2 linked regions of the Anolis sagrei genome follow. The protein of the gene in region 1 binds, or shares a complex with, the protein of each later gene. Links are inferred from orthologs where the notes say so. Each region holds a gene or a part of one and is shown on either strand. Other genes may lie near its edges.

Evidence for each region.
Region 2: INTS7 (region 1) and INTS12 share a complex: the UniProt entries of both Homo sapiens proteins name them as parts of the integrator complex. The link is inferred for Anolis sagrei from reciprocal best matches to the Homo sapiens genes INTS7 and INTS12.

What each region holds. Positions count from the first base shown.
Region 1 is NC_090021.1:32,418,978-32,427,357, forward strand, and holds the start of INTS7 (integrator complex subunit 7), read right to left. Parts: upstream 3,317-8,380; 5' UTR 3,161-3,316; coding exon 3,070-3,160; intron 1,769-3,069; coding exon 1,639-1,768; intron 681-1,638; coding exon 534-680; intron 1-533. Other genes in the region: DTL (denticleless protein homolog), read left to right, coding at 3,628-3,673, 3,996-4,121, 5,570-5,668, 5,854-5,915, 6,756-6,876, 7,112-7,177, 7,495-7,610. UniProt on the Homo sapiens protein: Component of the integrator complex, a multiprotein complex that terminates RNA polymerase II (Pol II) transcription in the promoter-proximal region of genes.
Region 2 is NC_090025.1:29,043,399-29,050,880, reverse strand, and holds the start of INTS12 (integrator complex subunit 12), read left to right. Parts: upstream 1-4,247; 5' UTR 4,248-4,379; intron 4,380-6,488; 5' UTR 6,489-6,496; coding exon 6,497-6,652; intron 6,653-7,482. Other genes in the region: GSTCD (glutathione S-transferase C-terminal domain-containing protein), read right to left, coding at 1-27. UniProt on the Homo sapiens protein: Component of the integrator complex, a multiprotein complex that terminates RNA polymerase II (Pol II) transcription in the promoter-proximal region of genes.

The sequences.
Region 1 (8,380 bases):
TGCTATCATAAAGCCTGCTTTAGGTATGCCTTGGTTCAGAATAAAAAAGGTGCTCAAACCAACTTGAAAACCTCTCTTTCAAGTAACAAAATAGACACTCAGCTGTTCAAAAATGTATCACCTAAACATAAATCAAAATGTTCTTTTTTACTGTGTCTTTTCAATGTTATCATACAATATTATTCAGTTGTTAAACATAAACATAAAATACATTCTGGGCAACTTTATTGCCATTTCTTCACACTGTTGAAATTGAAGTCTTGGGGAACAATTATAATCCAGTCATAGAATACACTTTTCCCTGCAGCTCAGTCAATCCCTAACTTATCCAATTAAAAATGAATCCATGCCACAGAACTGGGAAAGACTCCATCAGATACCCTGAAGATCATTTGCAAATCAGAGGAAACAGTACACAAACTAATAATCTTTCTCAGCATATACCTGCTTAATATGTTCACATTGCCCACTATAAGTGGCACCCTCCAGAATGCAGCATCTGGGCAGATCCTTGCTGAGTTAAGTGTGCATACCTGAGTGTGATGGCGCGTGCAACTGGATCGTTACTGTGAATAACTGAGAAAACTCTTTTCACAAACTCATCCACATTCAAGATCTTCTCCAAGTGTTTCTCACTCTGCTGAGTAACTTTCAAAACACAGAGTCTCAGGAAGTTGTTTCTGTTTTGAAATAATATTTTAATTACTAAAAATCATTATGTTTCCAATTTCTATAAAAAGTCTGAGGCAGGTAGCAATAGAAAATCAACAGTACCAAAGAATCACAACTACATCACAATGACAACTGAATGAAAGTCCAAAAAGTGGAAAAATAAAACATAAGTGGGATTTCCTTAGCAAGACTTGCTATTGTTTTCCTCTGAGGTTGAGAGAGTATGGCTTCACCAAATCCCACTTTATGATCAAGGTGGGATTCCAACCCGAACCTCCCTGAGACCTAGACCGCCACTCAAAATGCCATAATCATACTGGCTCTTGCAAATGAATTAATAATTAATAATCATAATTAAAATTCCAGTGCAGAGTGAAAACTCCAAGCAGATGTTATGGCACGTAAGAGTTCTTAAAAGGGTGACTTTGCCATATATCAAATGGGTATTAACAGGCAAAAGGCAAGAAGAAGCATCCCTCAATAGGAAATTTCCATGCTAGGGTGAGGGTACCTACACAGCTTTTCTGTGGTTTCCATAAAATACCACAACACAATTTCCACTTGATCTATCACTAAAGGTTCTTCCATACAATAGCTATAATCCGGGCGAGAACAAGTTAAGGGGGGGGGGGGGAGAGATGACATTTCCGCTAAATGCGCGCTCAATCGCAGCAACAGAGGGAAACCCATTTCAAAAAGAAGGGCTGTGAGGACAGCAGGGGAAGAAAGCCTGGGACCGATCTGTGCGGGGACCTGCTCTGAGAGCTTTTTATCTTTCCCCTTTTAATCCGCATTTTGGCACTGTATGGAAGCACCCTGAGTGGGCAAGACCTATACAGAAGAACATTTCCTAGTCAACCTGCTTCTAACCACAACGCCCCAAGAAATGGCTATCAGCAGTGCTTTGAATTAAAAGCAACTCAGTGCTTCAATACTACAAATCCAGAACATACAAGTTTAGCTTACCCAACTCTGAAAACATCAGCAAGTTTTAAAAATGCTGAGTTAATTAGAATCGGGAATGGATACTTCTGAAAGAGTCTGGGAAAACGGACAACAGCTTCACACTGCTCCCCAAGTTTGCCAGATCGAAGACCTGCAACAGAAAGTAAAATCAGCACAGCACCTAAAGGCATAGAAGCAGAGATAATGAAGCAGACTATGAAATGAAGCAGACTATGAATGTTGGGTGAAATATGTAACAAGGCCATCTGATGCTGGAAGTTAAGCAGGGTCAATTCTGGTTATTACTTGGCTGAGAGACAAAAGGAGCATTTAATTAATTTAGGCAATTTTTATCCCGCCTTTCCCCACTCAAGGGCCTAAGGCAGAGAATTAATACTGGATAATTCATGCAGTTCAACTGCTGTAGTTGAATGCTATGGAACCATTGGAGTTGTAGTTTTACAAGTTTTTTAAAGACTTCTCTGCCAAATTTTGTGTTTAGGCCTGGGTCCTATCACCAAGATTATGGAGAAATATGCAAATACAGGTCTTCCAGAGAATGTGTCCAGAGTAGGGCAACTAAAATGATCAAGGGTCTGGAGAACAAACCCTATGAAGAGTGGCTTAAAGAGCTGGGCATGTTTAGCCTGAAGAAGAGAAGGCTGAGAAGAAACATGATAGCCATGTAGAAATATGTGAGATAAAGTCATAGGGGGGACGGAGCAAGCTTGTTTTCTGCTGCCCTGGAGACTAGGACCTGGAACAATGGCTTCAAACTACAAGAAAGGAGATTCCATCTCTGAACATTAGGAAGAACTTCCTGAGTGTGAGAGCCGTTCAGCAGTGGAACTCTCTGCCCCGGAGTGTGGTGGAGGCTCCTTCTTTGGAAGCTTTTAAACAGAGGCTGGATAGCCATCTGTCAGGGATGCTTTGAATGCAATATTCCTGCTTCTTGGCAGGGGGTTGGACTGGATGGCCCATGAGGTCTCTTCCAACTCTTTGATTCTATGATTTTTTAATTTGATTTATGTCTAATTGTAGTGTATAATTGTAATTGTTTGTACTGGCATTGAATTTTTGCCATTGCTTATGTGTAAACAGCTTTGAGCCCCCCTCGGGGCGAGAAAAGCGGTATACAAATACTGTAAATAAATAAAAATAAAATAAATACAGTTTGGCGCCACTTGAATAGCCATGGCGGCACATAAATGTCGTAAATAAATAGTTTGGTGAGGAACCAGCACAATTTGGCAGTGAAGGTTGTAAAACTACAATTCCCAAGATGCCATCGCCTCGAGCCATGACGTGTCAGACAGCACTAATTCTCCTGAAAACAAACCCCGCCTCTCCCTTTCAAATTCCCCGCCTCAGGATAAAGGGGCGGGGCTTCGGTCAAACAAGGCCATCACTGTGACTTCGGCGCATGCGCACATCCCTCGCTTTCCCTCTTACCTTTATCCAGCTCCATGAGGGCGGAGTTTGCATCCAGTTCTTGTTCGCCATAGCCGGCGTCGGCAAGAAAGGATTTGGAAGCCGAGGCCATGTTGTTGTGTAGTATACAAACAAAACCCCTCACAGGAAAGGGAGGGAGAGAAAAAAGTTTATTATTTCCATTTCCACTCGGACACAACTCGGCGCGCACCGCCTTCCCTCTCCCTCACGAGCAGAAGCTAGCGCGCATGTGCAAACGGGCGCGCGTGCGCCTTGACGTGCCTAGCGCGCATGCGCGCAGTCCGGTTTTTAAGGAGTCGATGCGCATGCGCCACTGCAAGGAAAGCCGGTTCTCATTTCAATGGAAAGCTGAAGGGCGGTGGGCGTGGTCTCGCGAGGAAGGTGGTAAAGTGGGAACCAATAGGAAAACAGGGGCGTGGTTTGTGTTTCTGCTATAACCAATGGGAAGCAAGGAAGTGACTTTGGCGCGTAGTTCGGGTTGGCGGGAGTTAGGGGATGGGCTGGGAGTTTCAGTTGGCGCCGCGCGGAGAGCCAAGGAGGTCTTGAGCTCTGTTTACCATGCTGTGCCGCTCCCTCGTCCATCGCTGCCAAGGTGGACCGCATGGTGGGTTTGGATTTCTGTGCTTGCAATATATATTGCGGGGAACACATGGGGATTTTAGTGCCCTCCAGGTGTTTTGGACTCCAACTCCCACCATTCCTAACAGCCTCAGGCCCTTTCCTTTTCCCCCTCAGCCGCTTAAGCGGCTGAGGGGGAAAAGGAAGGGGCCTGAGGCTGTTAGGAATGGTGGGAGTTGGAGTCCAAAACACCTGGAGGGAGGGCCCAAGTTTACCCATGCCTGGCCCATAAACACTGAAGCAGAAGTGACCTTTGGTATTAGCAGCTAATTATTGTTTTTCCCCACCTTATTATTGTTTCTATGTAGGTCTGCTGCCAAGATTTTCCTTACAGCACCTTCTAGGGTGCTATTCTTGTACTAGAGAAGATGACCATCCGTCCTTTGGAGAAATGGGAATCCCGGTTCCTCCTTTCGGGTGCACCTTTTCAACAGGTACAATGGAGGGGGTTGTCCAATTTGTGAACATTTGTAGTTCTTTCCTTTTGTGTTTAGATTACGATCAGTAGTCCGCGGTGGCGCAATGGGTCCACAAACTTTTTAAACAGAGGGCCAGGTCACAGTCCCTCAAACAGTTGAACAAATTATAATTTGAAAAAAATATGAATAAATTCCTATGCACACCGCACATATCTTATGTGTAGTGCAAAAAACACATAAAACAGTATAGTAATTGAAAAGAACAATTTTAACAAATATAAACTTGTTAGTATTTCAATGGGAAATGTGTGCCTGCTTTTGGCTGATGAGATAGGGTTGTTGTTGTGGTGTGCTTTCACGTCATTTCAGACTTATGTTGACCCTGAGTGAGGGCTGGGTAAATGACCTTGGAGGGTTAAACCCTCATTTTGTTGAACTTCTGACCTGACGGTTGGCTGAATTGCTGACTGGAAGGTCGGAGGTTCAAATCCACAAGACAGTTCCTGCCAACATAGCAGTTCGAAAACATGCAAATGTGAGTAGATAAATAGGTACTGCTTTGGCAGGAAAAGACAGAGACACTCCAAGAAATCTTGCCGGCCACACAACCAGGAAGGTGACAACACAGGCTCTTTGGCTTGAAAATGAAGAAAGCACCTTCCCAGAGCCTGAGATGAGCACCACCTCCAGAAGCTGGAAATGAACGGAGAACCCTCTGCCTTTGTTTGTGTTTGTGTATCATATATAATTATAAATGCACTGACTCTTTGTCTGTGTATGTAAATAATAATAATAAACTTTATTTATACCCCGCCACCATCTTCCCCAACGGGGACTTGGGAAGGCTTACATGAGGCCAAGCCCGGACAACACATTACAGCAAAATAAAACCAAAACATAAGCAACAAGCAACAGCATCAAAATTACATTAAAAAACATATGAATACAATAACAAAGTAACATTCCAATAAACACAATCACAGTGACAGTGGGAAGGCCACATGTTCAGAATAAAATGTTTAAAAACTCGAATGAGATAAGAATAGGAGTAAGTTATTTGCAGGGAGCTCATAAAGAAACAAAGGATTGTGAAACTAAACTTCCCATTAAGTTGGAAATACATAAATAATAAATCAGGGAGAAGGGTGGAATATAAATAAAGCGTATTATTTGATACATAGCAAGATTAGTATACAGCAAACAAGGTCACTGCTGGCTTTTGTATTTGATCACCTTTCAGACACTTCCCAAGTGTCTAGGACTGCGTGATGTATCAGCGAATGCGTGCAGATCACAGACTGACATCTAGTCTTGATCTCTTAATACTGTCCTGTAGGTTTATCTCCATTTTACTTCTGTGTTTTTTTTGTCAAGTAGGTAAGCAGTAATTTTAGCAGAGTGTTATACATTACTGTTACTTGTAAAACTTTTAGAAACAGACATTTTGCTTATTTATTTTCCAGCTCCCAATGCACAACATATTCTTGCTGTTGCAAATGAAGAGGGGATCGTTAGGCTGTATGATACTCATGCATCAACAAGCAGCAAAAAGATTTTTAGAGGTAAACACAACACTTGATTGTGCTAAATTGTTCTGATAAATGCTGGGCCATTTTTAGGATGTGCTTAAACTTACTTGGCATTCTTGAAAAATTGAATTTCACAGCATACAGAGAGGTAAATAAATAGACCATATTCTTTTAACTCTTAATGATTAATGTGGATTTTGTTTTTTGTTTCCCTTCAGAATGGCAAGCGCATTCAAATGCTGTTTTTGACCTTGCCTGGATGCCCAGAGAACACAAAATTGTGAGTAAAGTAGTATTATCTTGCCCTTATGTTCAACGGGGCTTAGAAGAAGCCAAATTTCTAGGAAAGTAAAACATTATAGTCAATGGGCACAAGTATGGGAACATATTTATGGGGGAAATTGTTGGACCTTGCAATAGAAAGCTTGAGACAAAATTACTTCCAAGACACTTCTGATTCCATTAATTCTATAAGGTATATATATTTTGCATTCTAAGTACTAAGACACATCTGTATATCTGTTAACTTGTACTCTCAAGTCAAGCTATGTATATGCTTGTTTACTTTCTTCATGTACACCTGAGAGTAGGTCCCACTGAATTTGCTGGAGTAAACATGTATATAGCACTTCTCTCAAACTTTGTTGTACATAAGATAGTAAAGGTTTCCCCTGACATTAAGTCTAATTGTGTCCAGTTCTGGGAGGTGATGCTCATCTCAATTTCTAAGCTGAAGAGCTGACATTATCCATAGACATCTCCAAAGTCTTGTGGTCGGCATGACTGCATGGAGTGCCATTACCTTCTTGCAGAAGCGATACCTATTGATTTACTCACATTTGCATGTTTTCAAACTGCTAGATTGGCAGAAGCTGGGGCTAACAGTGGGAGCTCACCCCGCTCCCCACACTGGAACCGCCAACCTTTCGGTCAGCAAGTTCAGCAGCTCAGTGGTTTAACCCACTGCGCCACCAGGGGGCCCTTGCTGTACATAGTTGATGAAATATCAGGCTTTCCCTTCAAAAGGCCCTGTCTCAATAAGTTTATAGTCTGATAAGATATTCAACAGTTTGGTGTCACTCACTGCAAATAATAGTTAACTCATATTTTTATCGTTCAGGTAACTGCTTCAGGAGATCAGACGGCAAAAGTGTGGGATGTAAGGACTGGTGAACTTCTTGGGGTGTGCAAAGGGCACCAGTGCAGCCTGAAGTCCGTTGCTTTCTCCAAATTTGAGAGTGGTAAGTGTTAATGTTATCATCATCATCTGGCCATATTGACAATCCCCCTTTAAGAAGAGAACATGGGAATTTAAATCACCCAATTGCAAAACAGAGCTGGGAGTGTGGAGGGCTAAGAGCCTGGATTAGAATGGCCTGGACATATCTCTTGAAGAGGAGAGTTCCTCAAAGGGATTTGGTATTGACCTTTATCCCTTTTTTAAAAAATGAAGCATCTTATTTTTATATTTCACAGCGGTGTTCTGTACAGGAGGAAGAGATGGAAACATCATGGTTTGGGATACTCGATGTAATAAAAAAGGTATACTAAGTATCTGTTTATCTTATCTCCATTCTCCTTCCCCCAGCCTTCATAAAGCTTTGTAAGGCTTTTCCTTCTGCTGAGATACAAATATAATCCTGAAACTAAAGCCCCTTCCACACAGCTGAATAAAATCCCACATTATCTGCTTTGAACTGGGATATATGGCAGTGTGGACTCAAATAACCCAGTTCAAAGCGGATATTGTGGGATTTTCTGCCTTGATATTCTGGGTTATAGGACTTTGTGGAAGGGCCCTAAGTTTATGATGCAGTGGAGGTTGCTTTTAACATTTGTTCTTGAAAACCGCTTTCCAGATGGATTTTACAGACAGGTGAAACAAATAAGTGGAGCCCACAACATAACAGACAAGCAGACGCCCTCCAAACTAAAGAAGAAGAAGCAGAACTCAAGAGGCCTTGCTCCATCAGTGGTAAGGATCCAAAAGCTAAAAGGTGTCTTGCATTTTGAAAAAGTTAGTTCTGTAAGTTGTTCTGTTATGGCTTTTCCAGGTTGAAATCTCTCTGAGCTCAAAAGTAAACCGGAAATAGTAAATGCCAGGAAGAAAAGTGAGCAAATGTGGTGAAACAGATCTTTGCTAGTCCCCAGTAATAGTTATCCTCAATGATTCCTTGCTTTCGGCCAGAGAGGTGAAGAAACCAAAAGGGTGCTGTGACATCACAAGACAATTTTGCTAAGCCGATCACTACCAGACAATTGCCTTTTTTTCAGTCTGACACACAAACATCTCTCTTTTCATTTTATTCTTGTGTGGTGTTTGTTTCTTTCACATAAACCCCAAACAAAATGACCAGACAATTGTGGACTCCTAGGCTCCTACACTGCCATATAATTTCTCATCATTGTGGTGATTACTCGCTGTTATCCTTACTTGTGTAGATCTGCTTCCTTAATTACCTTTTTCTGCATGGCCTCTTGTGTTTGTGACTTGTGTGTGTGTTAAATGACTGCTACAGTCTCTGCATCTGCCTACAGTGCTGTACTGTTAGCCATTTGTAAATGATGGATAATTTCAAAAGCAGAGGAGATGAAGAAGAAGCTTACTAAGCTATGTTTACAGGGAATGCCAAGATAAATGGCTAAGATATCAGTTAAATTGGATGACCAAGAAGTTTTTACCCTGTCTTTTAATGTTATCTTTTTAACCTGTTTTGGGTTGCTATTCGGTTATATAGCTTGCTT
Region 2 (7,482 bases), on another chromosome or scaffold:
CAAGTGGTCTTCAGTAACCGCTTTCATTTTTTTCTTAAAGGAAGAAATGGTATTAATAAAATATATGTAGATGATTTAATTTTTAATACATTTTAAACTATGAAAATAATCAGTCCTTTTTCCTATTGGAAACATCAATTCATTCACAAACCAAATGAATTATACTAGCCTAAAATGAAAGGGCAATACCAAGATATGCTTGGCATGGGGACTCTACATTAAGTTAATCTTCTCTCTGCAATTTTTGGCATCACCCCTCCTTCATATTGGCTAGTAAAGGCAGAAAATACTGTTTAATGGCACTGTTTTAAGACAGTCAAAACAACATAGTATCCATCATCCTTCTCGTATTAACACACACAGCAAAGGAATAAGTTCCTACACCATTAAAAAAGTTCAATGTTTTTGAGCAAACTTTGCATCCAAAATTCAACAATATTCACATGGGAAATCAAATAACTTGAATTAACAATTGGTTAAAATGCATTATTTTCAGAGTAAGACCCAATTTTACATCTTGAAAGTCTCTCTTTTACCATCACACTACCAATGCAAATTCTTCAGCATATGGTACTTAAATGGTTGAGTAGTCCACTGATTTCATTAAGTTATTCAATATACAGTGGGAACAGGGATTACATTCCTGATTTGCAGAATACCGACATAATTTTGGTGACTAGATCTTTCTGCCTCCTGTTTAATCTTGTGTGATGTGTACAATTACAGACTCCACTTACTAAACCCTAGGGACCACATCGTTTGACATGCACATCTGCAGCCTCAGCTTTTTATTTGGAAATTGTGAGGAAATGTACCAATTCCCACTTCCCCTATGGAAGTGAGAAGATTTTTTTAAAAACACATAATACACAGTAGAATTAATGCAACTTTAACTGCCACAGAAAATATTATGGAATCCTTGTAATTGTAGTCTGATGAGGCACCAGCACTCTTTGGCAGAGAAGGCTACAGACTTTCTAAAACTACAGCTCCCAGGATTCCATGGCATTGAGCCATGGCAATTCAAGTGCATTAATTCTACAGTATAGACCAGTGGTTCCCAACCTGTGGGTCCCCAGATGTTTTGGCCTTCAACTCCCAGAAATCCAACAGCTGGTAAACTGGCTGGGATTTCTGGGAGTTATAAGCCAAAACACCTGGGGACACACAGTTTGAGAACCACTGGTGTAGACAAACCTTGGTTACATTGCTTTCATTGTTAATAGCACTGTTCTTGAAAGTTCGACAGTGGATTACGTAAAATAAAAATTAAGTCATTTACACAAAAAAATATTATTAAAAGAAGTCACAACTCCTCTGGCAAAGGCAGCAACCTAAGAATCAAAATAATGAATGATGCAGAAAGAGGTTGACAACGGAACTTCTGCGTATCTTCTCACCATTAAATATATTTTCGCTTAAAGGGAGATCTCGTTGCTCGGAAAATTTCAATTGGAAATTTCAATTGGTACAATGGGCGGCAGTCAGGTTACTAACTGGCGCAACTTACAGAGAGCGGTCAACCCTCCTGTTTAAGGAGCTCCACTGGGTGCCTTTCATTTTCCGGTCCGAATTCAGGGTGCAGGTTCTTACCTACAAAGCCCTGAATGGTTTGGGACCCGCCTACCTAAGTGACCGCATTTCTGTGTACGAACCCACACAATCTCTTCAATCGTCTGGAGAGGCCCTGCTCGCGCTCCCACTTCCTTCACAGGCGCGTTTGGTGGGGACAAGGGAGAGGGCCTTCTCAGTGGTGGCCCCCTGACTCTGGAACTCACTTCCCAAGGAGTCTTTAGGAGGAGTCTTTAGGAGGAGCCTGAAAACGTGGTTGTTCCAGTGTGTCTTCCCAGAATAAGGAAAACTCTCAGAAATATGCCCTCAAAATGTACTTTTACCACAGATTTAGGACTGACTGCATTCCCTCATCTCTCTTTGAAAACCCTATACCAGTTATATCCTACCTTGTTCATGCCCAGTGTTATTTTTTAAATTTTAAACTATTACATTTGGCCTGGCCATAAGTTTTTAAATGCGTGTATGTTACTGGTGGCCCCCCGACTCTGGAACTCACTTCCTAAGGACATCAGGCAGGCCCCAACTTTGGCAGTCTTTAGGAGGAGCTTGAAGACGTGGCTGTTCCTGTGTGCCTTCCAAGAATAATGATCCCATAGCACTTTGTCCTCCAAAGCACTTTACATTTTAGGCCTGCTTGTATGTTTTCCACAAATGCCCCATCACTTTTTCGCCCATGTTCCAGCATTACTTCCAATTTTAATTTTACATTTGGCCTTCCCATAGTTTTTAATCATGTGGTCTTATTGTTAATGTTGCATTATTGGATTGTCCATGTTTATTTTAATTACTTGTATTGCTGTTATTATTGCTTGTATTGTTGCATTTGGGCTCAGCCTCATGTAAGCCGCACCGAGTCCCTTGGGGAGATGGTAGCAGGGTACAAATAAAGTATTATTATTATTATTATCATTATTTATTGGTTATGTGATTTATATTAATTATATTGTATTGATTGTTTTTGTTATTGCTTTTTGTTTTATTGATGTACTGTTGGGCTTGGCCTCATGTAAGCTGCACTGAGTCCCTTGGGGAGATGGTAGCAGGGTATAAATAAAGTATTATTATTATTATTATTATTATTATTATTATTATTATTATCATTATTTATTGGTTATGTGATTTATATTAATTGTATTGTATTGATTGTTTTTGTTATTGCTTTTTGTTTTATTGATGTATTGTTGGGCTTGGCCTCATGTAAGCCGCACCGAGTCCCTTGGAGAGATGGTAGCAGGGTATAAATAAAGTTTATTATTATTATTATTATTATTATTGCTCAACTAGCTGTCCCCTGCCACGCGTTGCTGTGGCCCAGTGTGTTGATCTGGAAAATAAAGTAATGAGAAAGTGCTGGTTTCCAATATATGTAATGTTGTTATGTTTGTGGGTAAACAGTATTTCTTGCTGTTTCTTTGTCAGTGTTGATGTGGAGAGTGTCTGGTTTGCCCACCCTGGAACATGCAACATATCATTGTCCTTCTTTAGGGGTCCCTTTCAAATCTATGATACTATATCTCTCTGTGTGTGAATCATATCTATCTATCTCTACCTATGGCTGGATGGCTCTTGGTCAGGAGGACTTTGATTATGTTTTCTTGCCCTGGTGAAGGGAGTTGGAATGGATGGCCTTAAGTATTCTCTGTTGGTCATGGGGGTTCTGTGTGGGAAGTTTATCCCGATTCTATCATTCATGGGGTTCAGAATGCTCTTTGATTGTAGGTGAACTGTGAATCCCAGTGGCTACAACTCCCAAATGTCAAGGTCTATTTCCCCCAAACTCCATCTGTGTTCATATTTGGGCGTATTGAGTGCTTGTGCCAAAGTTTGGTCCAGATCCATCATTGTTTGAGCCCACAGTGCTCTCTGTATGTAGGTGAACTACAACTCCCAAACTCAAGGTCAATGCCCACCAAACCCTTCCAGTATTTTCTGTTGGTCATGGGAGTTCTGTGTGCCAAGTTTGCTTCAATTCCATCGATGATGGGAGTTCAGAATTCTCGTTGATTGTAGGTGAACTATAAATCCCAGCAACTACAACTCCCAAATGACAAAATCATAATTTTTAGAGTGATGGCCACTCCTTGTGTTGTGAGACATTTTGTTGCCAAATTTGGTATGATTTCGTTCATTGGTTCTTTTGTTTTTAAGGTACTCATTATGCACAGAGCATTTATATATATATATATAGAGAGAGAGAGAGAGAGAGAGAGAGAGAATAGAATGCAATGGGATCTTGGGAGTTGTAGTTCTACAAGGTCTTCTGCTAGAGTGCTGTTGCCTCACCAAACTACAACTCCCAAGATCTCATAGCACTGAGCCATGGCAGGGAAAAGTGATGTCAAACTGCAAATTGTAGAGTAGGCCTGGGCCAACTTGGGCCCTCCCTCCAGGTGTTTTGGACTTCAACTCCCACAATTCCTAACAGCCGGTAGGGTGTTAGGAATTGTGGGAGTTGAAGTCCAAAACACCTGGAGGGAGGGCCCAAGTTGGCCCAGGCCTGGTGTAGAGGGGAAAAAGACAATCCTTTTCCAAGCAAAAGCTCGCTTTAAAAGCCAAAGACTTGATGGGACATTTCTCCAAAGCCTCCTTACCGGAGATCCTTAGCCAGCGCCTTCCTCTCAGTGTCCGCCTCAGAAGCCGCAAGCCCCGCCTCTTCCGGCGCTCCTCCTCACTTCCGTTGTGTGTCTGCCTGCCAGCCGGGGACAGAAGGCGGCCGGCACCTCTAGGGAGAAGGAGGAGAACGAGAAGGAGACACCTGGCTGGCTGGACTTCTCCTTCGCGACGGGGTTTCCCTGCCAAATGAGGTGAAAGAGCAGGGGCCAATGAGGAAGGGGTTATTTTTTTTGAAAGCTTCTCTCCATTGTGTGGTAATGAATTGTAATGTATTGTAATGAATGCCTTTCTCCTCCTGTGCTAAAGAGGACCATGCTACAACTCCCAGGATTCAAGAGCATTGAGTAAAGTGGTGTCAAACTGGCTCTATAGCAAGCAAGGGCTAACTTGGGCCCTCCAGGTGTTTTGGACTTCAACTCCCACAATTCCTAACAGCCGGTAGGCTGTTAGGAATTGTGGGAGTTGAAGTCCAAAACACCTGGAGGGAGGGCCCAAGTTGGCCCCTTCTAGCCTTGTCTCTCTCCTGAGGAATCTGTATAAGGACCAAGTAAAGTGGAAGGCAAAAGGAAGAGGGGCCGACCAAGGGCAAGATGGATGGATGGCATCCTTGAAGTGACTGGACTGACCTCGAAGGAGCTGGGGGTGGTGACAGGGAGCCGACAGGGAGCTCTGGCGTGGGCTGGTCCATGAGGTCATGAAGAGTCGGAGACGACTGATTGAATGAACAACTGACCATGGAACAACAGACTGGTTCAAGATTGCGAAAGGTGTACAGCAGGGTTGTCTACTCTCCCCCAACCTATTCAACTTGTATGCAGAACACATCATGCGATGTGCAGGGCTTGAGGAATTCAAGTCTGGGGTGAAAATTGCTGGAAGAAACATTAACAACCTTAGATATGCAGATGATACCACTTTGATGGCCGAAAGCGAGGAGGAGTTGAGGAGCCTTCTAATCAAGGTGAAAGAAAAAAGCGCAAAAGCTGGGTTGCTGTTAAACATCAAAAAACACAAGATTATGGCAACAAGAATGATTAACAACTGGGAAATAGAGGGGGGAAACGTGGAGACAGTGACAGACTTTGTATTTTTAGGTGCAAAGATTACTGCAGACACAGACTGCAGCCAGGAAATCAGGAGACGCTTACTTCTTGGGAGGAGAGCAGTGTCCAATCTTGATAAAATAGTGAAGAGTAGAGACATCACACTGGCAACAAAGATCCGCCCAGTCAAAGCCATGGTATTCGCTGTAGTAACCTACGGATGTGAGAACTGGACCTTAGGGAAGGCTGAGCAAAGGAAGATAGATGCTTTTGAACTGTGGTGTTGGAGGAAAGTTCTGAGAGTGCCTTGGACTGCGAGAAGATCCAACCAGTCCATCCTCCAGGAAATAAAGCCCAACTGCTCATTGGAGGGAAGGATACTAGAGACAAAGTGGAAGTACTTTGGCCACATCATGAGGAGACAGCAAAGCCTAGAGAAGATCTGCATAGTTAAAGCAATGATATTCCCCGTAGTCACCTACGGATGTGAGAGCTGGACCATAAAGAAGACTGAGTGAAGGAAGATACATGCTTTTGAACTGTGGTACTGGAGGAAAATTCTGTGAGTGCCTTGGATCGCAAGAAGATCAAACCCATACATATTCCAGGAAATAAAGCCCGACTACTCATTGGAGGGAAGGATATTAGAGGCAAAGATAAAGTGCTTTGGCCACATAATGAGAAGATAGGAAAGCTTGGAGGAGATGGAAGGAAAAAGGGACCGACTCAAGGGCAAGATGGATGGATGTTATCTTTGAAGTGACTGGCTTGACTTTGAAAAAGCTGGGGGTGGCCATGGCCGACAGGGAGCTCTAGCGTGGACTAGTCCATGAGCTCATTATTATTATTATTAACTTTATTTGTACCCCGCTAGCATCTCCCGCAGGACTTGATGCGGCTTACAAAGGCCAAGGCCTCAACACAACAGCAAAACAATAACAATACAATTTAAAGCAAATTAAAACATAAGCAATAACAAAATGTTACATCATTATGCAATAAAACCAGGGCTGGGCCAGTGATGGGTACAGGTTAAAAAGTGCTGGGTGTGGCAGGAGGTATGTTGGATTTCCGGGCAAGTGCAATGTGCAGAGAGTCTTAAACTCTAATAAAGTGCTTCTGGGACGTAGTAGCTCAGGTAGAGTAGGAAGCAACTGAATGAATAAACAACAAAAACCAAAGGTTAGTTGACAAGCAAAACATATGTTTAAACTTTTTCCATCTTGTTATTTCTCTCTTTCTTTTCTTCCTTCAAAGGTGCTGCTATGGCTGCTGCTATGAACTTGGAGCTGGACCCCATCTTCTTGAAAGCTCTTGGTTTCTTGCATTCCAAAAGCAAAGATTCTGCTGAGAAACTCAAAGCGCTGCTTGACGAATCCTTGTCCAGAGGGATAGACTCAAGCTACCGCCCCTCACAGAAGGTACTAGCCCTAATATATGGAATATGTAAGGTATTTTGTGCTCCTCCTTAAACTGAGGTGCTTTTTGTCAGAAAAAGGTACTATGGTTATGGCTGAGCACTTGATGAACCAACTTGACTCAGCATATTATTTGAGAACACAGAAATGCTGGACCATTCTAACAACCACCATGTCAGACTATACAGAGAAGCCCTTGAAATCCACAAGCGTGTGGACAATTTCAACAGAAAGGAGGAAACCATGCACAAAATCTGGCTACTAGTATTAAAAAAATTCTATCAGGACAGTAAATAAAGAACAACACTCAAAAAACGGGAATTCTGGACAGGAAATAGTTAGGGCCAGCTAACACCTGACAAAGGATTCCTCCAGAAAGGAAGCAAATAACCCAGTTCAAAGCAAATATTGTTGGATTTTCTGCCTTGATATTCTGGGTTATATGGCTGTGTGGAAGGAACCTGAATCAAAAAACCATTTAGATTCCAAAGAAAGCTTTGAGGGTTTTTTTAAACCCCACAAACTCACTATATGGAGATTTCATTTTGATCAGAAGAAGTGAATATGTCAAATAAAGAATAAATAAAGAAGGTTGCAATCATGAGGAAGTAACTCTACTGAACTCGATGAGTAAACATACTTTGAATCAGTCTGTGAAAATACAGAGAAATTAAAACAAACAATTACTACACTATGTAACAAAATTTGAAACATTTTTTGTTACTGATTTGAAAGTGTTATTTAATAGTACCATACTGATTTTGAAAGTGTTATACTCCAGAAACTTGGTTTTTGTGGCTGCCACAAACTATGTTGAATTGATTGAATTTGAC